Cricetulus griseus: one gene and its partners. The protein of the gene in region 4 interacts with the protein of the main gene of each other region in a pairwise test. Links are inferred from orthologs where the notes say so. Each region holds a gene or a part of one and is shown on either strand. Other genes may lie near its edges. The genes, in order: Ptpn23, Asap1, Wasl, Grb2, Sos2, Prr22 and Garem1.

Region 1 (3,500 bases), on a different chromosome or scaffold from region 4:
CTTATTTAATCTTTTTAATTACTAATAGTCATCCTAATCAGTGTCAGGTGAGGAAGGGTAAAGTGTATGGGCCACACTGGGGTGTGCTTGCTGAGAGCACCCTTGCTAAGGGCTCCGGATCAGTTGGTGCTGCCTCGCCTTGCTTCAGCCCCGTAGCTATTAGCTTTCTAGTGAGGGTCTCTGGTCCTTTCTGCAGGGTGGGACAGGGGAGTTTATGGCTTTTACCCAGTGTCTCACTGGGCCCATGCTCCTTGATTGTTATATGATCTGCTTTTTAAAGTTTGAACAAAGGATTCCTTTGTTTTGTTTAATTTTCCTCCCAATTGAAAACAGGCTGGGCAGTGGTGGCACAGGCCTTTAATCCTAGCACCGGGGAGGCAGAGACAGATAAATCTCTGTGAGTTTGAGGCCAGCCTGGTCTACAGAGTGAGTTCCAGGACAGGTTCCAAAGCTATACAGAGAAGCCCTGTCTGGAAAAAAACAAAACAAAATATTGAAAACAGTAAATATCCAGAATATATGATCAAACAAAAATTTATGTCTATATCAGACATGAATCTGCCTGCCTATCTATCTATATCTGTATCTATATATTTATCGAAAAGAAGATAAATTGGGGCTGGGGAGTTAGCTTATTTAGTAAAGTGCCAGGCATGCCTGAGAACTTGGGTTTGGATCCCTCAAATCCATATAAATACCTGATGTGGTCATGCCTATTTGTAGCCCGAGTGTTTGGCAGGAGGAGGAAGGTCAGGGGGTGGAGATAGGTCGAGCCAGCTCTGGCTTTCCTGAGAGACCCTGTTTCAAAAGATAAGGTGGCAAGTGACAGTGGACGATACCTGCCATGTGCCCTGCACACGTGTGCGCATGTATGTGCAGTGTGCATTCACACAGAGAGAAAACACTTCAGTAGTGTGGCTCATACATAATCACAGTCAACATTTTGAGGTGTTCTTCTGGATTTTTTTTTCGTTTTGGTCCATGTATTTATTTGCTTATCCTATAGAAATGAGATCATATATTCATCTGTTACATTATTTTTTTGCCTGTATGTCATAGAAGTCATATCCATAGCAACCTTTGTCTTTAGTTTGGCTGGGGAATATTTTCTTGTGTGAGTTGCCTTGATATAATTGATGTAAACAATCCTCTTTAATGGAAAGTCTAGTGGCATCCAGTGTTTTAATCTGATAATGTTGTGAGAAATGCCCTTGTATGCACATCTAGATTTTTTCCTCCCTCTTAGATATCTGCCCTTCATGAATATTTTAGTCAAGAATGACCAAAAAACGATTGGTCCTCCCGTCGATCTCCTGGGATTACAGCTGTGCATACTGCCTGGCTCTCCTGGGTGCCTCTGGCTGTGCATTTTTATGTGTCGAGCTGTGGGTCAGAAGTTAAACAAAGGGGGAGGGGCAGAGTTAAACATAGCTGGAGAAATGGCTCAGCAGTTAGGAGCACAGACCACTTTTCTAGAGGACTCAGGTTCAATTCCCAGCACCCATAAGGCAGCTCACAACCTCAAGTCGCAGGGGATCCAGTTCCATCTTCTGACCTCCACAGACTCCAGCCACACATGTAATGCACATACATGCAGGCAAAACGACTACACGCATAAAATAGTATCTTTAAAGGTTGAATATAGTCAAAAATGTAAAGCATATTATAGAATATCTTCTAGAATGTGGGACAGACTCGGTCTACCAGCCTTGGCTGGCAGTATGGTATGTCCAATAACTGCAGGTGAAGATAGGGTTTTCTTTGAAAACTCTAATGATGGTGAACCCATTTCTTCCATCTTACTTCCCAGAATGCTATTCGTGTTGCACGGGATTTTGAGGGCTGCAGTGTCCTTCGAAAGTACCTTGGCCAGCTACACTACCTGCAGAGTCGGGTACCCATGGGCTCAGGCCAGGAGGCCGCTGTAGCTGTCACCTGGTGAGAGCTGGTAGGCTGGGCTGGGAAGTTGAGAACTTAGAAGGTGCTTAGACAGCTGGGATGCTTGGGTGGTAGGCGTGATCCTTTCCCCTCTCCTCCCCTTGCACAGGATGGAGTGTTAGTGTGAGCTCTTGTTAGACCCCTGTCTCATACTGGAATGGTTGGTTCCCTTTCCTGACCCTTGAGCCCAGGTCAGGTCCTACCCTCTAGATGACTGAGATGCATGTCTGCAGGACAGAGATCTTCTCTGGAAAGTCTGTGGCCCACGAAGACATCAAGTACGAGCAGGCCTGTATTCTCTACAACCTTGGTAAGCTGCTGGATCCTTCCATGGGTCCAACACCAAGCCCTGCCAGCCCTGGGTCTCAGTTCATCAGATCACACAGCCAAAAAGGCTATGACTTAATGAAAGGAAGATGCCTGGGTTCTGACCCCTCCTGCCTCTACCACAGCTACACTGGCACCTCTGCTGTTGTCTGAGGCCCTGGGAAGTCACTGTTTAAAGAGCTACTCTGCTGGGCTAACATGAAGCTGTCACTGCACTCCAATAGGGCGTCATGGCCTTTCTTTGTCTGGATAGTGTCACTTACTCCCTACTCCCCTATTAATGGCTTCAGATTGAGAAGATAAGGCTGGCCTTAGATTGCCCTTCAAGTCATTGTGGCTTTTGGCTGAGGGGAAAGCATGGGGGCTCCTCCCTCCTCTGCCACCCAGGCAGGTGCATGGCAGGGAGGATCTGGCTGGGTTTGTGATTGTTCCTCCTTGGTTATCCTTGCACTGACTGCCCAGTTCTCGGATCTGTTTTTCTGACTGGATGACAGCAGGAGCTCCTCTACTTCAGTCTCAGCACAGGTGTGGTCGGCCTGGGGAACATCCCCAGGCTCTCCTAACAGAATGTCCCCTGCCTGTCTAGGTGCACTGCACTCCATGCTGGGGGCTATGGACAAGCGGGTGTCTGAGGAGGTAAGGACTGGGAGGGGGCAGCGAGCTTGTGGGTGTGCTGTGTCCTCAGCTGCCAGAGGAAGTGTCATCTTTTCACCTGTTCCCTCCCAGGGCATGAAAGTCTCCTGCACCCACTTCCAGTGCGCAGCAGGTGCCTTTGCCTACTTGCGTGAGCACTTCCCACAGACCTTCAGTGTAGACATGAGTCGCCACATCCTCACCCTCAATGTCAACCTCATGCTGGTGAGCAGGGGTGGCCCTGGTGGAGCCAAATTGTTTTTGTTTCTGTTTTGAGATGAGGTCACATTTTGTAGCTCAGGCTGGTCTGGAACTTACTGTGTAGTCCAGGCTTACTTCAGGGTCATGGCCAATCCTCCTGCCTCAGTCTTTTGTGGTTAGTCATGAGCCACTACCCCTAACTTTAGTTTGAGCTGGAGAAGAAATGGCTAAGGAAGACGGCGGTTACATCTGGATCCTGCCATGTTCCAGGCAGTGAGGGACAGGCAAGAAGGAGGCCTTAGTATTGGGTCTTTTGAGTTCCAGGTAGATCAGGCACAGGGTGTGGTAACTCGGGGATATTTTGGTTTGTCCCTCGGCTCCCAACAAGGGAGGGACCTTCA
Region 2 (3,945 bases), on a different chromosome or scaffold from region 4:
CCCTCTTTGGGGGAACACTCGTGTGTGTGTGTGTGTGTGTGTGTGTGTGTGTGTGTGTGTGTGTGTGTGTGTGTGTGTGTGTGTGTGTGTGTGTGTTCACTCATACCCATGAGTGAACACTGGGGGTTAGACACGGTCTCTCACTGTATTTAGAGCCAGGCCGGTACGTGTCAGCAAGCTCAAGCGATTGCGGTGCTGAGTCAGGGCACCTGGCTTTTTACAAGACTTCCGGGCATTTGAACTCAGGTCTTTATACTTGTACATCAAACACTCTTTCCAGCTAAGCCGTCTCCCCAACACTTCCTTGGTCCTTCTTAGGAGGTAAAGAGTCTAGAGCATACCACAAGTGCTCAACAAGTACTAGATATCACTGTCAGCATCGCCTGTGTAGGAATCATTAGTGCAGACTTCTAGAAAAGACCCCTGGAAACCGTGTGAGAGACGCCACAGAGAGGAAAGAATGGGGGAGGTGAAAATGAAGGGGGGGTGTCAGAAAGAGCTCATCAAAAAGCAGAGTCCACTGCAGGGAAGAAACACGAACAGCACAGGTAGGAGGCCAGCTCTCTTTTTCCTCTAGACCACAGCCACCTGGATACAACATGAGCAGCCAGCTGGGAGGAGGGTCTGGACCAGGAGGGCTCAGCTTGAATGCACACATTCATCTCTGGGCCTGCCGGGCTTGCATTGGTTTTTTGGAAACCTGGCTTGCTGTGAGTGGGAGAGGTGTAAGGAATTTCAATTTCCTTCACCAAATGGCAAGCTTGTGAGCAAGTCCTTTCTCTCCAACATTATCACGTACTAAAAATGAAAAGCCAGCAGCCACCCAGCTTTCATGAGGAGGAAGGTAGGTGGGCTGCCCAGCTCACAGAAAGAGGAGGACTCAAAACCAAGACCTTCTGAGAATCTCACAGACCATTCTGTGTCAAGACACTGCCCCTTTGGAGTCTTGGGAGTTTGTACATCTTCAACCATAAGGAGAAAGTAGAGAAAAGCAATCCCCCATCTCATAACTACAATTGTATATTTCAAATCCGTTTGATAGTTGAATCCCAAATGCACTTGGGTCAGTGAATAGAAGAAGTTGGGTCATATTTTAATTTTTTGTTTTTTCTTTTAAGCCAGCATGCAAGGTACTAAAAATAATTATGCATTTTTTAAATAGGGTAATTTAAAAACGCCTTATCACAAAATAAGTTCTTTCAGATAACTTCATATCTCAAAAACAGCGGCAATTGCAGATAAGCGAACAAGAGAAGGCGCTAAAGTGGCGAGGGATTGAAAGACACAATTCCACATCTGGTTCCTGGCTGACAGGCCATAACCCGACACAGGCAGAGAGAGCAGCCTGGCCCCAGAGTTTAGCGAATTGGAAGCTAGCTGTTTCTGGCTAGGCCACCAAGTGGTCATGTGCCCTTTGACAAGACAGGTAACCTGTTTGAACCGCTTCCATTCCACGTTAACAAAAAGTGGAAACAGTTCTTCTATGGTTTTTTGCGCTCTCTTTTCTTCCCTTACAGGATTCCCACCCCCAACTCCCACCTCCCACCCCCACCCCCACCCCTTCGCAATGGCCCTGCACGGGGGGGGGGTGCGGGAACGGGGGCCGGGGCGGGTGGCGGGGGCGGGGAGCTCCCAACCTGACCACTCAGGTTAGAACAGACACGAAAACTGGCTTTAAAAAAAATTAAATTCTGTGTTTTGCAATCTGAAAACATTACTCAGCAATCCTGCACCACCGCTATCCCAGAATCAGTTCTCTAAGACAACCTGATGGAGTAGATGGAGAAAAACAAACTGGTGTTTTGGAATCGTACAGCTAAGGCTATGGTCAAGTTGATGATGGTCTAGACTTGGCTAAGCCTCTCTCCGTGATAGAAAAAAGACCCGCCTTCTCGGGATGAATCAAACAGCAGAAAAGCAGATACCAGCGAGTTTCTTTTTTTCTTTTAAACTTACTGTGACACTCCTAAAAAAATCATCAGGTCCCCAAATGGTACAAACGGAAGACACAAGGCACTTCTCAGCTCCCAGGAGGAATTACCAACCCCCCACCCCCTTGGTTTTCTTTTGGGTTAACTAAGTGGTCTGGGGCCTGCCTGGCAGCGCCATGTCCAGGCCGGGTCCCGCGCCGAGGGGAACTTTCCTCCACTGCGCCGGAGACAATGCGGCGGCGGGTGCCGGCGCCTTCAATCGGCGCGGGGAGAGCGCCCGGGAGAACCGGGAAAGTGCCCGGGAGGAGAAGGAGAGCGCCCCGGAGAACCGGGAGAGCACCCGGGAGGAGGAGGAGTGAGCCCCAGCTTCAGGGGAGAGTGCTCAGGAAGACGGAGAAAGCGCCCCCAAGGACGGGGACAGCGCCCCCTCGGATGGGGAGAGCGCCCGGGCGGCTGTCCGCGCCTCGTCCGGGAACGGGGGAGCATTGCGCCCGGGGCGCATCCTGCCCGCCCCCCCCCACCGCAACCCGGGTCGCCTCCGCAGAGCAGGGGAACGCGCACCCCAGCGCTGCGGATGCGGAGCCCCGGGGCGGCCTGGCCACAGCCCCGCAGAACCGGCCGCGCGCCCCACACGCCCCCAAGACCCCGGGCTGCTGCTCTCCGGGATGACAGGGACACCCGGAGCCCGCAGGGGTGCGGGTGGCCCCGCCGCGCCCGCCCCGCCGCCCCGCCGCCTTGCCACTCACCGGGACCGGGCGGGCCGCTGGGCATTATTCCATCGCGGGCGCGGCGGGGCCGGGCGAGCGGGAGCCGAGCGCGGCGCAGGAAGGGGCGGGCGACCATGTGCCGAGGGGGAGGAGGCCGGCGACGCGAGCCGCTCGCTCGATCCCGCTCGGCGCGGCGGCGGCGGCGGCGGCGGGCGCGGGCTGCAGGAAATCCAAACACTTCGGCAGGAAATCGGAATCCTGACTAAGCACTCCCGGCCCGCGCCTGCCCCGCGCCGGGGGCTCCCGCCGCGCTTAACCCTTGGCCCGCCGGTACCCTGCGGGTCGCCCCAGTAGGACACCGCAGGGGGTGCGTGGGGTGGGCCTCGTCCTTGGCCACAGAGGGCAGGGGTGAGGCCCGTCTGCCGCTAAAGCGGGGACACCCGGAGAGGACCGTAGCCTCCCCCCCACTCCCGGCCAGGATGGCCTTGCAACCTCTCCTGACGTCTCCCCGTCCACTTTCACGGGTTCTTTCCAGTCGATCCCTCTCTTTTTGCCCAGTGCCTGGAGGCAGAACCTTTTGGGTCAGAATAGCACAGGGATGATCTGGCGAGCGTATGGATTTCCATGTCTGAACCCAGGTTGGGGAATGGCCTTTTCCTTTCTCCTGCAAATGATACTCCTTGGGCCTCAGTTTCTCGAATGAAAAACCAAAAAGGAGTGTTTGTAGACTTAATCTGAAAACCAGATGCTTACACTGGCAAGTTGGGAATACCAACGATAGCCATGCTTGGCCTTATTATTTGCAGTCTCAAGACCTCGGCGGAAAAAGGCCGCTGCCCTGTGGGATGTGTGTTGTGTGTGTCTATGTAGACTTACACCGCTGGGGACAGGTCTGACCTTTCAGACATCAGTCCGTTGTCCCTGTCCCGTCCACCCCATCACTGGGTGATTGCTTTGCTTGCTTTTCTTTGAGTCTTCCAGAAACTGCTGTCTGAAGAAAAGGTCAGCGGCTGTGCGGACCCCCTTCTGGTGAAATCTGAAACTCACTAGGCCTCACAAAAATTTGAGATTTTGTTCTTAACCTGAGGATGGCGGGGGTTGGGGATGGTTCAGGGGAGGGCGTGTTAATAAGCCTTGAGATGCTCCAGGAGGTTTAGGAAAAGCAGCCTGGAAGTCTGGGCGGCCATTGGAGTGATTCATTGTGGTTTCCCAAGGAAATGCCACATTTTTTTTTTTTTAACCTGGAAGCTGCAGTTTGGTGGTTTTGCTTAAAGTGTTTCAGATTCCTTTGAAACCCGGACTTACAG
Region 3 (3,500 bases), on a different chromosome or scaffold from region 4:
GGAAGGGATGCGCTTTTAGACCAGATACGGCAGGGCATTCAACTGAAGTCTGTAAGTAATGTGTCCTTTTCATTTTGATTTTTTTTTTTTAAGCACTGCAGGCTTTTACCATACCCCATTATAAGATGTCTAACTTTGAGGGTTATTCTTTTTCTTTTTATAATTTTTAAGATGTTGGTTATGCGCAATGAAATATACACATTTTGGATGTGTACACTCTGTAGCTGTGTAGTCCACACTTAGTATAAAAATGTGACATATCTGTCGCCATAGAAAGCTGCCTTGTGCTTCCTCCCAACAGTTCATGATCTGATTGCTATGTGATACTTCTGTATATTCTAAATATCACAAAGATGGAATCTTACAATATGTTTATAATTATTGTTCTAGACTTTAAATAAAAGATTCTTTAAAGAAACTACTTAATAAACTAAAGGGAATTTTAAAAAGCCCTCTTGGAAGCAGCTTCAGGGTCTTGGTAAGTTCAAACAAGTAAACTTACAAAAATGGAAGCATACTCTTAAACACTAAAATTTTGTATTTGGAAATTAAAAATCAGACTCCACAGAAAAGTGAAAGCGGTCCCAACACTAGAATTCATCACAGTGATGGTCTATAAGTCTGGATTTTCTCATCATTTCTTCATCTTTTTAACTCCCCGCATTGCACCTTAATTGCAGATGAGCTCTTGGACTTTGCTATATGTGGGGTAGAGATCAGAACCCAGATCCTAAGGCTTCTACTGCAAGTCCTCTGCCCTCTGAGCCTTCCCCTGTGCACACAGATTCTTTGCTAAGGATTTCTAACTGAGTTATGATACTTCCTTCTCCAAGGTGTCTGATGGCCAAGAGTCCACACCGCCCGCACCTGCTCCCACCTCAGGGATTGTGGGTGCACTGATGGAAGTGATGCAGAAAAGGAGCAAAGCCATTCATTCCTCAGGTGCTCACGTGCTCTGGGAGGGGTGGAAGTGTGTCTACCTGATATGTGAAGCTCTGCATTTTCTGTTTGTTTTTATGATTTTCTTTGTTACATTTTTGTCTGATAATTATGCAGCTCATTTGGTGTTGCAGTTTTAAAAAGCAGAGCTTGAGAGAAAGATGCCATGTGACAGAGCTTGGGTGAAGGGGTTTTTAATTGGGGAAAAGTGAATGGGAAAGGGGGATGGGGACAGGAGCAGCCAAAGAAAGAGAAGGAGAGAGATAGAGACAGAGAAACAGGCAGAGAAAGAAAGAGAGGAAAATGGGAGGTTGGCAGGACAGAACAGGCCCTTTTAAAAGGGAACATAGTGAATGTGCACAGGTGGTGCTCTTAGTGACTATAGCTGAGGGCATATCCTGTCAGAACCCCAAGGACAGGCCAGTACAGATGCCTGAGTACTAGCAACTGGTAAGAGTTTTTACAGCATATTTAATCAAATTGTGTCCTCAATGACTGGTCTTCCTAAAATTTGAAAGATACCAGGACACCACAGCCATACAGAAACAAGAAGAAAAAAATTTGTAAAAAGTGATGAATTCATTTTCTGTATTGGAAAACACTATAGAATCATTGACAAACAGCCTCTAAATAAGACTTTGAGATTTCTCGGTACCATTTCTATGATATTCTAGTAATAAGAACTATAGTAACAAAACAGTGTTGTGCTTGGTTTTTTTATTCTTTGAGGGGCCTGCCATCTAGCTCCCAAATAATTATACTGAGACTTACGCCTTCTTATGAATGCCTGGCCTTAGCTTGGCTTATTTTCCACCATCTTTTCTTAAATTATCTAGTCTACTTTTTCCCTCTTGGCTTTCACCTTTCTCTGTTTCTGTATATTTTTTCTTCTTATTCTGTGTCTGGCTGGTTGGTTGGCCCCTGGCCTCCTCCTCCCTCCCTCCTTCCTTCCTTCCCTCTTCTGCCTCCCTTCCTCTCCCTCCTCCCTATTTATTCTCTCTGCATGCCAGCCCTGCCTCTTTCTCCTGCCTACCTATTGGTCGTTCAGCTTTTCATTAGACCAATCAGGTGTTTTAGATAGGCAAAGTAACACAGCTTGCAGAGTTAAACAAAAAATAAAAGAATGCAACACATCTTTACATCATTAAACAAATGTTCCACAGCATAAATAAATGTAACCCATCTTCAACTAATACTCTACAACACAGTGTAGTGCTGCTACAAAAATAGACACCCAAACCAATAGGACAAAATAGGGGAATTCAGAGATAAACACACAGTAGTGAACAAAAATTACACACTGAGAAAAAGGGCAGCCTACTAAATGAAGATGCTGGCAAATGGATATCCACTTGCAGAAGAATGCAGTTAAACTACTTTCATTCACCCTGCACAAAAATCAGTTCAAACTAGATCAAAATTCCTTAATTTAAAACATGGAATTCTGGAGAGAGGGGATTAGATTTCTTTCACTTTTCTCTACCTTCTGTTACTTTTCAAGTCCTGATACTAATACTGAAATAGTTCCTTATAGGAAACTTGTCTTATAAGGGAACAGAAGATATTCTGTTTTTATCTAGCCTACATATATAATGTCACATACAATTTACTTTCTGGCTCTTTATCATTGTAATCATAAGTATTAAACACCATCTTTGTTTACATACTTGGCCGTGGTAGGTTTTTGTGAGGTATGGATATCATGGAAAATTGATAGAATGTGAATGTTCACTGGTAGAATTAGATGACATTAAACCCTGAATTCACTCAGAATAATGATTGAACAGCCTCTGCACATAACTCCTGCTGTTCAGGATCCTATGGTATGTAACAGACCAAGACACAGCTTTTGTGGGGTTTGTACTCTAGTGTGATACATTAAGTTTACAGGCATTCTGAAAAATTAAGGAAAGAGGAATGGAACAGACAGTTCCCACTTCTGGAGAAGGGTTACACAGGATAGGCAGGAAAAGCCTCTTTCAAGAGGTGATTTCTGAGTGGGATGTAAATGATGAGACGGCCAGAAAAGGGAAAGAGTACTTCAAATGCTCTGACATGAAGGAACCAGTTGGGTGAGGGGGAGGGACAGAAAGGGAGACGATTGTACTAAAGACAGTGAGAGGAGGGACAGGGCAGGTGGGAGACTTAGAACAGGGCAGAAGGGCTGGACAAGTCATGTGTGATGTTTCAGAGGGAGTTCAGAGTACATTCAGGCAGCAGTAGCCAGCCACAGGAGGCCTTTGAAGGAAGAACATGACATTTTAAACTTAGAGTTTTAAGTATCTCTCCATCTTCTCTGAGGTGAACCTCCTTCCTGGAGAACAGCAGTACTTGAGGCAAAACCTGACAGTAGGTATGGACTGTGGTGGAAAGGAAGGCACTTGATGGAGGGAGAGGGAAAGCCTGCTAACCTAAGAGAAAGATGATGTCATTAAGATGAAGACAAGCAGATTGTGGGAAGAGGAAAAAAGTCAAGTTCCAGGGTTACAGATTTATGTAAAGAATGTAAAAGTAATTGTAAATCCAAACTCCTGAAAAGCTAACCGAAGTTTCATTTGACA
Region 4 (2,674 bases):
TCTGCTCGAACCCCTGTCCTTTGCTTAATTACAAGCAGGGGTTTCAGTCAGAACTGCCTTTTGACTTGTAGGACCTAAGTGACTGGAACACAGACATTTTTACACCTGTTAGCAGAGCTCTGGTGCGCACAGCCTATGTTGTTGCCGCCCCCACTAGTTTAATAGGCCCATTGGCCATCGTCAGTGACATAGGTGTTTGTACCCGAGTGGGTTTTGGATATCAGTAAAGGATTACTCTGAACCCAGCTAGGATTGAGGGATGGTGGGATGGAGGAAGTTAGAGGGAGGCTGCCTTGGGAGTGGGTGGACAGTGAGCAGTGGCTGACAAGGCAGCTGGCAGCATGAGGAATGAACGCCGTTCTCGTCCTCTGCTTGTCTTTTGCAGCAGCCAACGTATGTCCAGGCACTGTTTGACTTTGACCCCCAGGAAGACGGTGAGCTGGGCTTTCGCAGAGGAGACTTCATCCATGTCATGGATAACTCAGATCCCAACTGGTGGAAGGGGGCCTGCCATGGGCAGACCGGCATGTTTCCCCGCAATTACGTCACCCCAGTGAACCGGAACGTCTAAGAAGCAGAAGAGATTATTTAAAGAAAGTGAAAAGTTGAGACCATTCACAAGAATTGCACCCACATGCTGCCTGTCACAGCTTGTGAGGGAGTGCAGAACATCTGGCTGGGTCCTACTGGTGACCCTCTCACTTAGGTTGAAACTTTGGGGGGTGGGAAGGGGTGTTTGATTTCATAATGCCAAAACTTAACCTATTGAATTGAATTACAGTTTTTATTACAGAATCTCACTGCTGCTCCTGTTCCCCTCCTATCTCCTTTTCTCATCCTTTCTTTCCTGTCCTTCAGTGCATGACGTTTGAGGCCACGTATAGTCCCAGCTGATGCCAATACTAAAAGAAACCAAGTGGGCTGGTACTTTCTCTATGCAAAATGTCTGTGGAGATGAATGGACTAAAAGAGCTATATTCTTCACACACAAGGGGCGGCCAGGGCACCTGGGGCCCGTGAATGGGCTTCTGCCAGAGATGCCTGAGGGCATCTGCCTCCAGCCCAAGCCTGGAGCATCCCGTCAAGGTTGGACTTTGTAGGGGAAGGAGGCACGCCACCCACCTCTGGTCCCCGAGTCACTGCAGACCTGCGCCTCCTCCCACTGTCTCCCCGTCAGGTGTTGCTCAAATGTTGTTTTTCATAGTGCCTTTTTTCTTATTTCAAGGGTGTTTTATGAGTGGTGTTTTTACTTTTTTTTATATAAGTTAAAGACAGTCCAGAGCTTTTCCTATCCTGTATAATATTTTCCTCTCAGGGCAGGGGAAACAGGATAGAGAAAGGAAACAGGAGAAGCAGAGCGTGGTATTGCCTGTCTGGAGGGGCCAGAGGTCTTGGAAGACTCTGCTCCCTGGCTGTGGTCTGCCCTTTCCATGCCTGGAGCCAGTGAGTGTCAAACACAGAAGACAGGGGCAGGTGGCAGCCAAGCTGTCCTTCCTCCCCTGTCACAGGCCTGCACTCGGGTGGGAGCTGAGAGTATGGCTTTTCGTTGTCCTTGCTCTTAGAATTAGGTCCTTGCTCTCAATTGTGTATTTTCCAACCTGCCCAAGAGCGCAGATAGCAGGGTTGGGGCTTGGTGTGTTCACAGCTGTTCTGCTGCCGCATCCCATGAAGCTGTGTGAGGTGGGAAAGAGCACAACCCATGCAAAGAAAGCTCTTTGTCTGTCTCCTGTGAGCTTCCAGTCCTCTGTACACCAATCTCTGCACCTAGCCTCCTTCCCACAGCAAAACAAGGCTCCTCCTAGTCTCCCTTGGAGTTGGCAGTGTCCTTGGGCTGCTGGGCTCTTCGGGGTGGGGTCTCCCCTGGACTCTGTTGGGAGATGGACTCAGCCCTGCCCTGGGGGCGGCCTTCCAAATGGAGCTGTCCCTGCCCTCCTGGTTTTGCTTCCTCTTTCCCTGCTGATGATAAAATGAAATAATGAGTTACACCTGGGCCATTTGATTGTTTTATTTTGGAATTGGTGTATATCATGAAGCCTTGCTGAACTAAGTTTTGTGTGTATATATTTAAAGATCAGTGTTTAAATAAAAAGACCTATGTACTTACTCCCTTAACTTCTGCGAATAGCGATTTGGTAGGTAGTGATTAACTGTGAATAAACATACAATGAATTCTTCTCAGTGCATCTTCTTTTCTCCCTGATGACGTCTTTATATTCTAGACAGGGTCTCTCACTGTTGCCCTGCCTGACCTGGAATTCACAGTGTTCCACCTACCTCTGCCTCACGGATGCTGGGATTAAACACAGGCTGGTACATCTAGCCCCTGTGGCCCCAGAACAAGTGATTAGTTCATCATTTGGAAATTGGTTTAGATCAAGAGCTGGGCTTACAAGGCTCCTCCCGATCTCAGAGGAAGTAGCTGAGACCCCTTGACTATGACTGCTGCTTCTAGGGTGAGACAAGGCTCTTAAAGCAAGGGTTAATAGTTGAACAAAAGAGAAATGACTTTGAGCAAACAACCTCATTGTGGTATCACAGCTAGGGAGTTTCCGGGTGCCACCCCTCCCCTGCAGTGAGTTAATAAGCAAGAGGGCGGTGCTCCTGTCCCCTCTGCTGGCTCTGGTTCCATGCAGACTACCCTGAAGCTAAGCAGAAGTTCCCAACATGAGGTCAT
Region 5 (4,073 bases), on a different chromosome or scaffold from region 4:
GGGAGAACAATGCTCAGCTACCGATTCTGGAACTGAAATTATGGCACAAGCTGTCTTTTACAGTTAGTTCTCCCGTTCCCTTCCTCCTTGCTGGTGGCTGGGTGCATGACTGTTCACAGCCTGTTGGAGCAATTTGTTCAGCAACTTTAGTGGGATGAAATTTGGGCTAGCGAAAAAGTTTCCAGAGTTCATGCCTCTTCAACTCAGAAAAGCTTAGGGCCAGAAGATCTTTTCTGGTGCTAATTAGTATGACTGCATCCCAGGATCCAGGTTCTGTAGAACCTGAATTGGAAAGGATTTGAAGGACATGATTAACAAAAGAACCATACATGAAAGTTTTATGAAGATACTTTTTTTTTTTTTTGATACACTTATGTGAAATGCCTCGAACTGAAGTCACCCGGCCCCGAAACCGCGCGCTAAGCGCTTTCCACGACCCCACGTGCTTTTATGAAACAGCTACCAAATCTCCCAAATATATGAAGGAGCCATGTAGAGCACAAATTAGATATCCTATCAGACAAATGTCCTTCTCGCCCCACATCGGTGTACTGCGGTCACGGCTCGAAGCTCCCTCTGAGCTGCACCGAATCAGGACTGTCTGCAAGCGCGGAGGACGCTGCCGAGTGTGTCTGGAACAGCTCCCACCCCGCCCGGCGCACATTCCCAGGAGACACCGACTACCCTCCCGGCCCCCGGGCCCCGCACCCGGCGCCTCGGCCCGCTCAGCGGCGCGCATGCTCCGTGCTGGCCTTCTCCCTAGACTCGGGAGTGCGAGCACCGGGCCGTGGCTGCGAGCCGCGGCTGCTGGGACCCGGAGCTCGGCGGCGGCCCGCGGGGCTGGAGGGGCGGCGGCGGCGGCGGCCAGCGCTGTGCACGCCGGACACGCGCGCCCGATCGCCCCCGAGGGCCCTCTGGAGGTGACTCGGCGGGCCCGGTCGGGCGCGTCGGCTGCGCGGAGGGCGGGGAGGCGATGAGGACACTGCGGGCCGCCGCTGTCCGCCCGCCGCGGCCGTAGCGGGAGTCGGGGCGGGGCGAGGCCGGCGGTGCTCCGGGCTGCGCACCCAGACAAAGGAGGAGGAGCCGCCCGACGAGCCGCGGGGAGAGCTGGGCGCCTCGGGCCGCGCGCTTCCTCGGGGCTGCGGGGCCGCCGAGCCTCGGTGAACGCCGCCGGCCCGCCCGCCCGCCCGCCGGCGCCGCCCCCGAGCGCTCGGCCGTAGCGGCGGCCCGAGCGGAGGCGCGGCCGGGCGAGGCGAGGCGGCCCGCGCCCTGCCTGTCAGGCCACCGGGCCGGCCTCCGATGCGGAGGCGCCGCGGCCGGGGCCATGCAGCAGGCGCCGCAGCCCTACGAGTTCTTCAGCGAAGAAAACAGCCCGAAATGGCGGGGACTGTTGGTCCCGGCCCTGCGGAAGGTCAGTGCTGGGGCCGAGGGAGGTGCCGCGCGCGGGCCGGCGGGCTGGGTGGGCCGGGCCGGGCGCCCGCAGAACTTGTAACGGGGAGCATGGGTCGCGCCCGCATCGGGTCCCCCGGCCGAGCTTTCTCTCTGGCCCGGAGCCGGGTGCTCAAAATTGCCTGTTGCATCCCGAAGGACGTTTGCTCAACTTTTTTTTTTTTTTTTGGCCTGGTCCCGGAAGGAAGGTTTTGTTATGATCATAAAACTGGATTTCATGTTACAGTCATTTCGTCAGGCAACTTCCGCCGTTGACCAATTTGTTGTCCTCGGGCTGGATTCGGGCAAGACAAAGTCCCGCTGGTCTTTAGTTTCAAAAACAAATGCAGTTTCGCACCGAGGAACTACTTTTTAATTAAGTTCTTTGGGGGGTGTTCGCTTCGGGCCGTTTGCTTTGCCAAGGTGGCCCATTCGCTTGTGAGGCAGTGCTTTTTTTTTTTTTTTTTTCTTTTTTAAATCTAATATGGATGTGTGTTTCACATGTGTGAAGTGTCAGTGAGTCATAGTATTCGTTTTCCAGCTCTTGAGGTGAATCTAAAGCGCCTCTCCACTTCCTGCAGAAGTCTCACCTGAATACAAGGACTGCCTCATAAAATTGGATCAGTTTGCTCACAGCGATGAGAACTTGCAGTCATCTTTAAGGGACAATTGGGGGCAGCTCAAGCAAATCAATCTTTGAAGTTTGGATGCGTGGTTAGGATACATATCTTGTACTGGTTGGTGTCAGTCTCTTAGGAAGTTAGGTAATTATACAATGGTTTTTGTTGCTGTTGTTAAGTTCTTTTTGTAAGCCAGACACACGGGCTCAGGGCTAGCCGTCATGCCCCTGAGACATTTTGCCTTTTCTGCAAAATAAACACGAATTAAAATAATAATCATATTAAATAAATAATAATAAAAATTCTTGGGCTAGCGAGAGATTCAGATGGGGAAGGGTGATCCTGCTGTCCAACAACACAAGCTTGATGGCTTGAATTTCATTGTTGCAACTCACATAAAGGTGGTAGGAGAGAACTGACTCCAGAGTTGTCCTGGCCCTCATGCAGGATCTGCATCTCTCTCTCTCTTCAGACACACACACACACCACCCATGCACACACGCACCGACTCCAGTTAGTTAAACCCCTGCTCTTGAGGGAGTCTGTTAAATGGCTCAGGGAGTAAAAATGCTTTTTTGGCAAGCCAGATCACCTGAGTTCATGCCCAGAACCCAGATGGAAGAGAGAACTGACTCCCAAAAGTTGTTCACATGCTCACACACACTAATAACAACAACAGCAACTACACTTGAAAAATAATTGTCGTCCATTTCTAGGAATTGAAAGACACCTTCATGGTAAAAGCATTTCCTGGTACTTTCAGGATTTCAAGTTTTTCCATTGCCATAATTTCTCACGAGGAGGTGTTTATTGGTTTCCTTGGGGAGCACACTGAGTCATGTCATTTTAAAGAACTTGGTGGAAATGGAAATCATGTTAAGTAGTGCTAATGAACTCTGTCTTGAATTAAAAGCAAGGGGGGGGGGAATACCTAGATAGTAATTAGCCCTTCTACCTCACAGAATGGCGAATGCCTTTATCAGCGAGATCTGTGCTGGTGGTGTGTGGTACAAATGTGCTACTTCATAGTAAAGGAAAGAAACACATTTGTGACAGTTTGGTCTTTAGTGGTGAATGTTAAAAGCAGTTAATACTACTTTATTAAATTCGCATTATGGATTGAAGTACACACCCATGGAAAACATCTTATTTTTAGAAAAATTTTGCCAGTACTAATTCATATTTTATGTGGTTTGATGTATTCTAACTTTATGTATTCATTTAACATCTGTTGAACACAACTTAGATACTTGATACCATGCCAGATTCTAAGAATACAAAGGTGAATTTATTATTATTATTATTATTATTATTATTATTAACTATGATTTTTTGAGACAGGGTTTCTTTGTATAGCCTTGGCTGTCCTAGAACTCTGTAGACCAGGCTGGCCTTGAACTCAGATCCACCCATCCTGCTGACCCCACACTCCCCATTGCTGGGATTAAAGGTGTCCCCCACACCCAGCACAAAGGCAAATTTTTAAAAGGAAAGTTATTCTCTAATGGTATTTATTATCTAGGCCAAAAATTCTGTTTTGAAGGATTTGACTTCTGTAAATGAGTAATTTTGACCATTTTTTTGTAAAGAGCGTCTTTCTCGTGTGTGTGTGTGTGTGTGTGTGTGTGTGTGTGTGTGTGTGTGCACGCGCGCGCGCGTGTGTGTAAGAAGCAGTGTTGTCTCAGTCAGATTAGTGATGAAGTCACCAAAACATTTCAGAAAGGTGAAGTCATGACTTTAATTCAAAATATAAATGAACACACGTCAGTGATTTAAACTTATTTATTTTTGAGAGAGGGGCACACAAGCTGCCCTCAAACTTGTCATGTAATGGAGGGTGACCTTGGACTTCTGAGCCTTCTGCCTCCTCCACCTGGGACAGAACCCAGGCTTCCTGCTTGGTTGGGTAAGCACTCTACCCAGCCTTCAGTGTTTTATTTAATGAAAGATCTAGTAAGATGTTAAAGCCATTCATATGACCATTTGGATATTTATAGGATACTTACTGAAGTAATATTAAAACTA
Region 6 (3,862 bases), on a different chromosome or scaffold from region 4:
GGGGCAGTGTGGTCCCATCTTGGGGTCACTGTGGTTTTCCTGGTCTCTTGTTTTCTGTCTCTTTGGTTCCTTGCTGTCTCCCTTGCCCCCTCTCACCCTTAACCCCTCCACCTTCCTTCATCACTGCACCCCCCTCCCCTCAGCTCCATGGCCGTTCCCGGGAACAGCGCTACACCAGGCTGGCTGACTGGCCCTACATCGAGCAGTGCGCCAAGGTAGCCAGCCCCATGCCCCTGTTCGGTAGGTGCCCAGAGCCACCGGGGCCACTCACCCTGCTGGAAAGACAGGGAGGATGCTGGGTCCCTGGGAAATCCCAAGACCGATGACTTCCCCAACACTGTCAAGACGCCACTCTGTCTCCTCAGGAAACGGGGACATCCTTTCGTTTGAGGATGCCAACTGTGCCATGCAGACAGGTGTCGCAGGGGTCATGATCGCCCGGTGAGTGGCATCTGGGCTGGGACAGGGATGCTAGAGGTTTCTACACATGGGGCCTCTGGGTGGGCAAGGCCCGGTGCTAAGGTGACTGGCAGGAAGCACTGTACCCACTGACTGTCTCCCTCCACAGTGGTGCCTTGCTCAAGCCCTGGCTGTTCACAGAGATCAAGGAACAGAGACACTGGGACATCTCGTCCTCTGAGCGCCTGGACATCCTGAGGGATTTCACACACTACGGCCTGGAACACTGGGGCTCTGACACGCAGGGTGTGGAGCGGACCCGGCGCTTCCTTCTCGAGTGGCTCTCCTTTCTTTGCAGGTGAGCGTCAGACAAGGAGAGTGCTGGAGCCTCGGATTGTAGCCTCAGGCCTCACCCAGTCTTATTGCCTCCCCTGTCCTCCTGCAGGTATGTGCCCGTGGGCCTGCTTGAGCGACTCCCACAGAGGATCAATGAAAGACCACCCTACTACCTAGGCCGAGACCACCTGGAGACGCTCATGGCCAGCCAGCAGGCCGCAGACTGGATTCGCATCAGGTACCCACTGGCCTGGGTCCTGTGGGGTGATGCTGGGAGGCCCAGGCCTGACTTGTCACCCTGTCCCCACAGTGAGATGCTGCTTGGACCAGTCCCACCCGGCTTTGCCTTCCTGCCCAAGCACAAAGCCAATGCCTACAAGTAGACAACGGAGACAATAAATTTTATTCTTCTACAACTTTTTTTTTGTTGGGTTTTTGAGACAAGGCTCCATGTTTCCTGGGATTTACTTTGAACTCCTGGAACCCTAGGCACGTACCTACCATCATATTCAGTTTTCTTTTATGTGCCATCCTTTCCTCTTCATCCAGGGTGTGGCCTTTGCTGGTGCCTGGTTCCTGTCTGCCCTGTTTTCGACTCCCAGCTATCCATTTTGCTGGCCAGCACCCTTGTGGCTGTGAATCTGGGCAACCTGGCCCAGGGTGTATCTACCCAGGCAGTGAAGGGAGTCACCTCCTGCCCACCCCCACCCCGGAATCCGAGGGGTGGGCCCATCCTGGACTGGAACCCTCCACCTAGCAACAGGGCAAACAACCCAGGGGACTGTGTCCCCGAGGTGCCTCTGCTGCCACCCAGGCCCCCCCCCCAGGGTGGCCTGTCTGCCCCATGCAGCACCCCAAAACCCTCTACCCCCCAGCCATACCCCAGGAAGGCTTCGGCCCACGGGGCCTGGAGGGCACTGAGGTGCCAGGTGGCCCAGAACCACTTCCCACCGTAGGTACGATGGTGGTAGCAGGCAGGGGTGTGTGATGGCCACGGGGCCTGGGCTCCTGCCCCACCCACCAGACGCCTTTATCCACAGCCAGCGCCAGCCTGCTCTATCAGACTCCCGGCTCGGACCACGATGTGCTATCAGCGCCTCCAGCAGGTACTGGCCAGCACCCTGAGCATGCTGAGAGCAGGCTCCGTCCTGACCCGAGATGAGACCCTGGGTCGCCTCTGTACCCCAGACAGATCCCCCCCATACTAACTCATGTGCCACAGTTTGAAGTGACAACTAGAGACCAGGCCGAAGCTTGCTTCGGTGACAACAGCTGCCACTAGGTAAGGGTTTTCACAAGGCCAAGCCACTCACAAGCTCAGTCACTGCTCCCCTGAGAATAGGAGTTTCCCCAACAGTCTCCGAGTGTCTTACCCGCCATGAATCCCCAGATGACTGCTAAACAAAGCCAGTACACACAGGCACCTTTGAGGTGAGGGCTGTGTCCTATGTGCCTGGGTCTTGGTCTGTCCCTCCCATCCCATGGTCTGGTTCCCCCATGGACACCCCTCTCAGAGTGTCTGCCACCTGCAGGCTTCCAGATGGCTCCCTGCGGCTGCTTCTTTGACCCCCGCATCTACCGAATCGAGTGGGCCACCTCCGACTTCGGCCAGTCGTCCCTATACAAGGTGGCAGTGGCCGGGGGTCCCACCTTGTCCAGTGGCTACCTGCTGGAGGCCCCATCCTACCTCAAGGCCCCGGGGCCTCCACCTCCGCTGTACCCCCACTACCAGCCAGCTCCCGGTGGGCCACAGTACCTTACACACTACCTTCCACCTGAGGAGTCTGGGCCCGAGGCAGTGGGCTTTGTGGGGGATGGAGGGTCCCTCAACTTTATGGAGATGCTCAGAGATGGCCTGGCACCCCCACCAACCCCCAAAGAGACTAAGCCATCTCCCTTGCTCATCACAGTCCCTACGGCACACTCGCTGCCACCTGGACCCTATGGCCATCTCAGTGGCCATGCTAGCCAGTTCCCAGGGCCCCAGGTGACCATGAGGCCCATCGAAGCCCCCAGGGAGCTGCAGGGCAGTGCCGTGGCCAGGCTGGGTCTGCGGTTCCCTCCTGGGCCTGCGGAGCCCAAGGTGGCCGAGGTGGAGGACATCACCCCCATGGGCTCAGGTGAGACCGTGCCTCCTGAGGTGGCCCGCGCTTTCTTCTTACCGGACAAGGTCCTTCTAGAAGATGCCATGAAACTTTTCGATTGTCTCCCTGGTGGCGCTGAACCTGAGGTGGCCCTGCACAGGGGTACCGGGCCCAGCCCGAGAGACAGTGGTGGTGGTGGGGATGACTGCACAGCCGACATCCGCTCCCTGCACCTGCCAGATGAGCTGCTGTCCTTCGACTATGGCGTCCCTGAGGTCCTGGATGCTGTGGCCAGTGTGGATTACGTTTTCAGCTTCAAGGCCCTGGATGATGAGCCGCTGCCCCATGTGGGGGTCCCTGTCACTGACATGGTGGCCCCTGGCCTACGGTCCCATCAGTCAGGAAAGAAGACCACCACATCCACCAAGAAAGGGAAACCAGGTGGCAGACAACGGCAGACCACAGGCCCCGCTGGCACCACAACCACAGGACCCAGGCCGGACCCGGGAACTGCCCTCAATTAAAGTGATTTGATCTCTGCTATGTGTTGCTGTGACCTGGTGAGGCCAGAGGGGACCCGGCAGTAGCTAGACGCCTTCAGAGTTGGGCCAGGAACCTCAGAATTAAGTGTCAGGTATCAGGCGTGCATCTGAACTGTTACCCTGTATTCGGGAGGCTGGGGCAGTCAGTCAGAACCACAAAGGATGCCCCGTCTAAAAGAAATGAGGACACAGGGGCTGGGCTGTAGCTCAGTAGAATACAGTGTTGGGTTTCAGTGCTTGGGGTTCAGTGGGTAGAGTGCTTGGGGCTCAGTTGCTACACACAAGACCCTGGACTCCATCCCCAGTGCCACATGAACTGTGTGTTTCATGAGTGTAACCCTGGTGCTGAGGAAATGAGAGGAACCAAAAGAATCAGAATTTCAAGGCTAGCCTGAGCTATATGAGACTGTATCAACAAGAAAATCAGTCACCTGGGGCTGGCCATGTTGGGAGGCCTCCTGAGAAGTGGGGTTTTCTTTTCCATCCAGACCTCACACTGAA
Region 7 (3,952 bases), on a different chromosome or scaffold from region 4:
TAAAGTCTACCCAAATTAAATTGTTAAAATAACTTGTCCCTCTTCCCATCAGATTAGCAAAAACTTCAAAAGCAAGCAAGGAGCCCTACAATATAGTAAGGATGTGGGCCCAGTGCTGTTCCCACAATGCCCATGTTTGCATGAGTCTAACCTTTGGTCTCTAGGGCAATGACAATTGTGTCACAAGTTTAAAAAGATTCACATGTGCTCTCAGCAAGGGAGGAACACATTCTCATCCCCAAAACAAGCCTACGTATAGGAATGCTCATTATCTCGGAACTTACAGATGAAGTAGGGTAAGTGGCGACTTCATGTCCACTAATGAGGGAGTAGATATAAATACAATTTAATGTCCACCTATAAGGGGCCAGATAGATATATGCTATAGGCATTCCCACAGAATATCATGCAGCTATTAGAATCTATGCTAACAAAAAAGAGATGGGACTGGTTAATGAAGGAATCAGGTATACAGTAATATTGGCTACAAGTATGACTTGGATTCTCAAGTGGTTAATCACAAGAGGAATTTATGATAAAGAACTAGAATTACACATGATGATCAAAATCCATCCCAAGGCTTGAAAGGACACAGTGTTAAGACTTGCAGCCCACATCCCAATTTGAAAAGAAGTGTGGGGTGAGCTCAGTGCTGATTGAGACCCTTTTAATGAATGACAGGGATAGGAAAGTAGTTAGTAAGACTGAGAGTTATGTCTAAGGCTGATGCACAGTCTCTCTGCACTTTGAGTTGGAGGAAGTCTGAGCAATTTGCACACCACGTGCACCAATGCTCTATTGCCTCGCTGAGAAGTTTTGGCAGAGTTTGCAGAGATGAGGGAAGGTCTGGAAATGGAAAGGTAAAGACTCACAACCTGCCAAAACATACAATTTTGCACATTGGAGGAAATGAAACTGCACACACACACACACACACACACACACACACACACACACACACACACAGTTACTTATTAAAGCACAACACACTTTGCCACCCCCACGCTAAGTAGAAATGCCTCAATATGCCTCAATGTCCTCCCCTGGATTCAACAGTTATTACCATCACATACTTCCTTCTTAGTTTTAAAACTTCTAGTTTATTCCCAGTAACCACCACAACCACCACCACCAGCCAAAGACAGCAAGCATGCCAATGTTGTTTTCCAGCTTTCAAAACTTTCTCATTTATTAATTCTCTTGTCAGTGTTTCAGTGTCTAGTCTAGCCTTACAGACAAGCAATAGAATAAGACCTCTTTGGGGGCACTTACACATCTCATATGAAACACACTTTACTCTAGAAAGCAAGACATAAGGCAAGTGCCTGTGACTTGAAGAAACGGCATCCTTCTGTTCAGACCAGTTTTGATCTGGCTTGTGTGTGACCACAGCTCTATCTATGTGCCTGCCTGGTGCCAGCCCGCCCGGCTGCCCTACAGCAGAGCAGACTTCTTCCTACAATCTGAAGTCCCAAGAAGCTTAACTGGGTGAAGTTACAAGTGCAAAAAAAACAGACACAACTTAAACTGTCCCCTCCAACATCTCAAAACTAAAGGTGTCCACTTGACTGACAGTAGCACATCTACATATTTGTTTGCATATGTCACAGTGCAGAATAATCAGTGTGTGTGGTGGGGGGCGGTGTTCTTGGTTGTTTTCTTGTGGTCAGTTTCAGGAAATACAGGCATTTCTTGGTTCAGAGCTCAGATTGCAAATCAATATGCTTTAGCGGCTTAAAATATTTTTTCTAAGCTGGAAGCGCGCTATGCTAATAATTAACCGTAAGCATACCATCACTTCTGCTAAAGACATTTTCTGCACACAACCCTAAATCACTCGTTGTTGTGTTAAACAGAGTAGACGAGCTGTAATAAAAGATCTCCAAGAAACGTGATCGTTTTCATTGGGTCACCCGGGAGCTTTTCCTCTGAAATCTGCAGTTTCTTGGCAGACATAGGGAAGACCGGTTGGAGAGAGCACCCCAAACAAGATACCACCCAGAGCCCAATTATTTTCGTCAGGAAGTTGCCTAAGACAACTTCAGGGTTCCCAGATTGAGTAATTCTTGCATCCAAGGTTACTATCTGCAGGTTTCCACGATGTTGATTTTTTTTTTTAAGGTGCCCTTATTAACTGCACTGCAAGGGTTCTGATTTGCACCTCTCTGGCGACGGCGGCTGCTGCTGCTGGGGGGGAGTGGAGTGCCGCGCCAGGGCTGCGGCAGCCCTCGCAGGCCAACTAGACAGCCAGGGGCGAGCACTGCCCCCGCCCCCCCCCGGGTCCCACCCTTCCTGGCACCCGCGCGCCCCGCCGGTACTCACCGCTGTCCAGCCGCGCGATCTGGGGCAGCCGGTAAGTGCTGACCAGCAGGTCGAGCGGCACAGCCACTGGGCTCCACTTCACATCCTTGAGGCTGCAGCCCAACGAGGGCACCGGGTCCATCTTCCCCACCTCCTCCGGCCCCGCGCTCCCGCGCCCGCTCCACCGCTGGCTGGCGGGCGGCTTCGCTCTCCCGCCGCGGGCAGCCGGGCAGCGAGGCACAGCGGCGGGGACGCCGGCACCCGCCTTCAGCGGCCACACCGAGGCATGGCTGGCGCCCCGCGCCCTCAAGCCAGGGGAGCGCTGCAGGCGGCCCGGCTGGCTGCGGCGGCTCCTCTCCTCCTCCGCCTCCCCTGGCCCGGCTCTGCAGCTGCGGCGGCCGGCCGCCCGCCTCCTCCTCGGGCCCCTCCTAGCCTCCGCCTCGAGCACAGTGTGAGGAGGAGCCGCGGGTCGGAGGAACGCCATAGCAGCGCTCCCGGCACTGACTAATCAACAAGGGGCATGGGACGCCTGCGCAGCCCGCCCTGGCACCGCCTCCGTGCCCGCCTCCCACCGGGGACTCCGCCTCCCTGGGGCACAGGCTCCGCCTCTCCGACTCGGACCTCGCCTCTTTTCCTCGGATCCCGCCTCCACGCCACTAGCTCCACCTCTCTGGAGCCGAGGCTTCACCTCCCTGGAACGCGGGCTCCACCACTAGCTCCGCCTACCTCCGAGTAGGCTCAGCCTTTCACAGTTCCCGCCCACACATAACCCCGCCTTCCTCTGGCGCCGCCTTCCTTAACCTAGCCCCGCCTCCTCAACCACAGTACCCATAGGCCCCGCCTCCCTAGCTCCGCCTCCTACAGGCCCCGCCTCCCGCACATTTCTCTAGCTAGGAGCTCTGCCTCCCTCCGAGGCGGCTCCCGGGACTGTGGTACCCGCTCGGCTGCGCTCCGCAAGCTTTGGCTCTCGCTCCCCCGTCCGACCGCTCGCGCGCCCTGCAGCCTCGCCCGGCGCGTCCTTCCCGGTGCCCGCGGTGCAGCCAGCGCTCTTCATGGTCGGCAGTGGCGAACTCTGATGTTGCCTCTGGCAGCTACAGCAGGTTTTCCTGGCTATAGGGACCGGGGCGGGAAAGAGCCAGCCCGTGGAGTTAGCCATCGGTGGTGCTTCCTGACTCCATGACTCCATAGACGGAGATGAAAGTTTCTGTGATCAGTTCAAGTGTGGCTGCAAGGCAGGATGCAAAAGATTCCCAGACGCAGAAAGCTGTGGAGTGTCAACGTCCAGGAGGTCATCCTCCTCCAACGCGCAGAGAGGTTCTCTTCTGATAGATAAATCCCCTTTCCTAAACATGCTACCAGAACTTTCGGGGATGTCACAAAATGGCACAACTCTTGGGAAGCGGTGCTAGCATTTAACCCACAGGTTGCTTTCCATAATAATGTTGCCCACAGTCTTGAAATAGGGTTTGCTTGTTGTGGCCAGAGCTCAGATAATAGAAGGGATTACGAGGTCCCTAGTTTCCAGGCAAAGCCCGGACTTGTGTGTTGCTTTTTTTTTTTTTTTTTTTTTTTTCATGAAGTTCAGCTAGAGAGATGAGCAGCTCCTGAGGTGAACCTGTTCCATCAACACGCTTTCAGTATTAGGTGTTCA

The links.
Region 1: the proteins of Grb2 (region 4) and Ptpn23 interact in binary tests that used the Homo sapiens proteins (3 or more experiments, as listed by UniProt). The link is inferred for Cricetulus griseus from reciprocal best matches to the Homo sapiens genes GRB2 and PTPN23.
Region 2: the proteins of Grb2 (region 4) and Asap1 interact in binary tests that used the Homo sapiens proteins (3 or more experiments, as listed by UniProt). The link is inferred for Cricetulus griseus from reciprocal best matches to the Homo sapiens genes GRB2 and ASAP1.
Region 3: the proteins of Grb2 (region 4) and Wasl interact in binary tests that used the Homo sapiens proteins (3 or more experiments, as listed by UniProt). The link is inferred for Cricetulus griseus from reciprocal best matches to the Homo sapiens genes GRB2 and WASL.
Region 5: the proteins of Grb2 (region 4) and Sos2 interact in binary tests that used the Homo sapiens proteins (3 or more experiments, as listed by UniProt). The link is inferred for Cricetulus griseus from reciprocal best matches to the Homo sapiens genes GRB2 and SOS2.
Region 6: the proteins of Grb2 (region 4) and Prr22 interact in a two-hybrid assay, tested with the Homo sapiens proteins (2 studies listed by BioGRID). The two-hybrid records come from large-scale screens. The link is inferred for Cricetulus griseus from reciprocal best matches to the Homo sapiens genes GRB2 and PRR22.
Region 7: the proteins of Grb2 (region 4) and Garem1 interact in binary tests that used the Homo sapiens proteins (3 or more experiments, as listed by UniProt). The link is inferred for Cricetulus griseus from reciprocal best matches to the Homo sapiens genes GRB2 and GAREM1.

The regions. Positions count from the first base shown.
Region 1 is NC_048597.1:217,870,404-217,873,903, reverse strand, and holds part of Ptpn23 (tyrosine-protein phosphatase non-receptor type 23), read left to right. Parts: intron 1-1,807; exon of another isoform or gene 1,808-1,810; coding exon 1,811-1,938; intron 1,939-2,124; exon of another isoform or gene 2,125-2,148; coding exon of another isoform or gene 2,149-2,171; coding exon 2,172-2,248; intron 2,249-2,851; coding exon 2,852-2,901; intron 2,902-2,991; coding exon 2,992-3,123; intron 3,124-3,500. UniProt on the Homo sapiens protein: Plays a role in sorting of endocytic ubiquitinated cargos into multivesicular bodies (MVBs) via its interaction with the ESCRT-I complex (endosomal sorting complex required for transport I), and possibly also other ESCRT complexes.
Region 2 is NC_048603.1:23,764,703-23,768,647, reverse strand, and holds the start of Asap1 (arf-GAP with SH3 domain, ANK repeat and PH domain-containing protein 1), read right to left. Parts: upstream 2,801-3,945; 5' UTR 2,678-2,800; intron 1-2,677. UniProt on the Homo sapiens protein: Possesses phosphatidylinositol 4,5-bisphosphate-dependent GTPase-activating protein activity for ARF1 (ADP ribosylation factor 1) and ARF5 and a lesser activity towards ARF6.
Region 3 is NW_023276806.1:202,776,982-202,780,481, forward strand, and holds part of Wasl (neural Wiskott-Aldrich syndrome protein), read left to right. Parts: coding exon 1-51; intron 52-833; coding exon 834-942; intron 943-3,500. UniProt on the Homo sapiens protein: Regulates actin polymerization by stimulating the actin-nucleating activity of the Arp2/3 complex. Involved in various processes, such as mitosis and cytokinesis, via its role in the regulation of actin polymerization.
Region 4 is NC_048600.1:128,239,968-128,242,641, reverse strand, and holds the end of Grb2 (growth factor receptor-bound protein 2), read left to right. Parts: intron 1-385; coding exon 386-571; 3' UTR 572-2,174; downstream 2,175-2,674. UniProt on the Homo sapiens protein: Non-enzymatic adapter protein that plays a pivotal role in precisely regulated signaling cascades from cell surface receptors to cellular responses, including signaling transduction and gene expression.
Region 5 is NC_048598.1:133,709,858-133,713,930, forward strand, and holds the start of Sos2 (son of sevenless homolog 2), read left to right. Parts: upstream 1-1,273; 5' UTR 1,274-1,317; coding exon of another isoform or gene 1,318-1,324; coding exon 1,325-1,411; intron 1,412-1,500; exon of another isoform or gene 1,501-1,590; intron 1,591-1,675; exon of another isoform or gene 1,676-1,733; intron 1,734-4,073. Other genes in the region: translation initiation factor IF-2-like, read right to left, coding at 167-282, 709-1,273, 1,318-1,326.
Region 6 is NC_048598.1:96,776,455-96,780,316, reverse strand, and holds Prr22 (proline-rich protein 22), read left to right. Parts: upstream 1-1,305; 5' UTR 1,306-1,579; coding exon 1,580-1,691; intron 1,692-1,731; exon of another isoform or gene 1,732-1,775; coding exon 1,776-1,841; exon of another isoform or gene 1,842-2,166; intron 2,167-2,267; coding exon 2,268-3,343; 3' UTR 3,344-3,362; downstream 3,363-3,862. Other genes in the region: Dus3l (tRNA-dihydrouridine(47) synthase [NAD(P)(+)]-like), read left to right, coding at 1-240, 366-441, 569-757, 845-973, 1,046-1,118.
Region 7 is NC_048595.1:215,729,339-215,733,290, reverse strand, and holds the start of Garem1 (GRB2-associated and regulator of MAPK protein 1), read right to left. Parts: upstream 2,801-3,952; 5' UTR 2,786-2,800; coding exon 2,323-2,785; intron 1-2,322.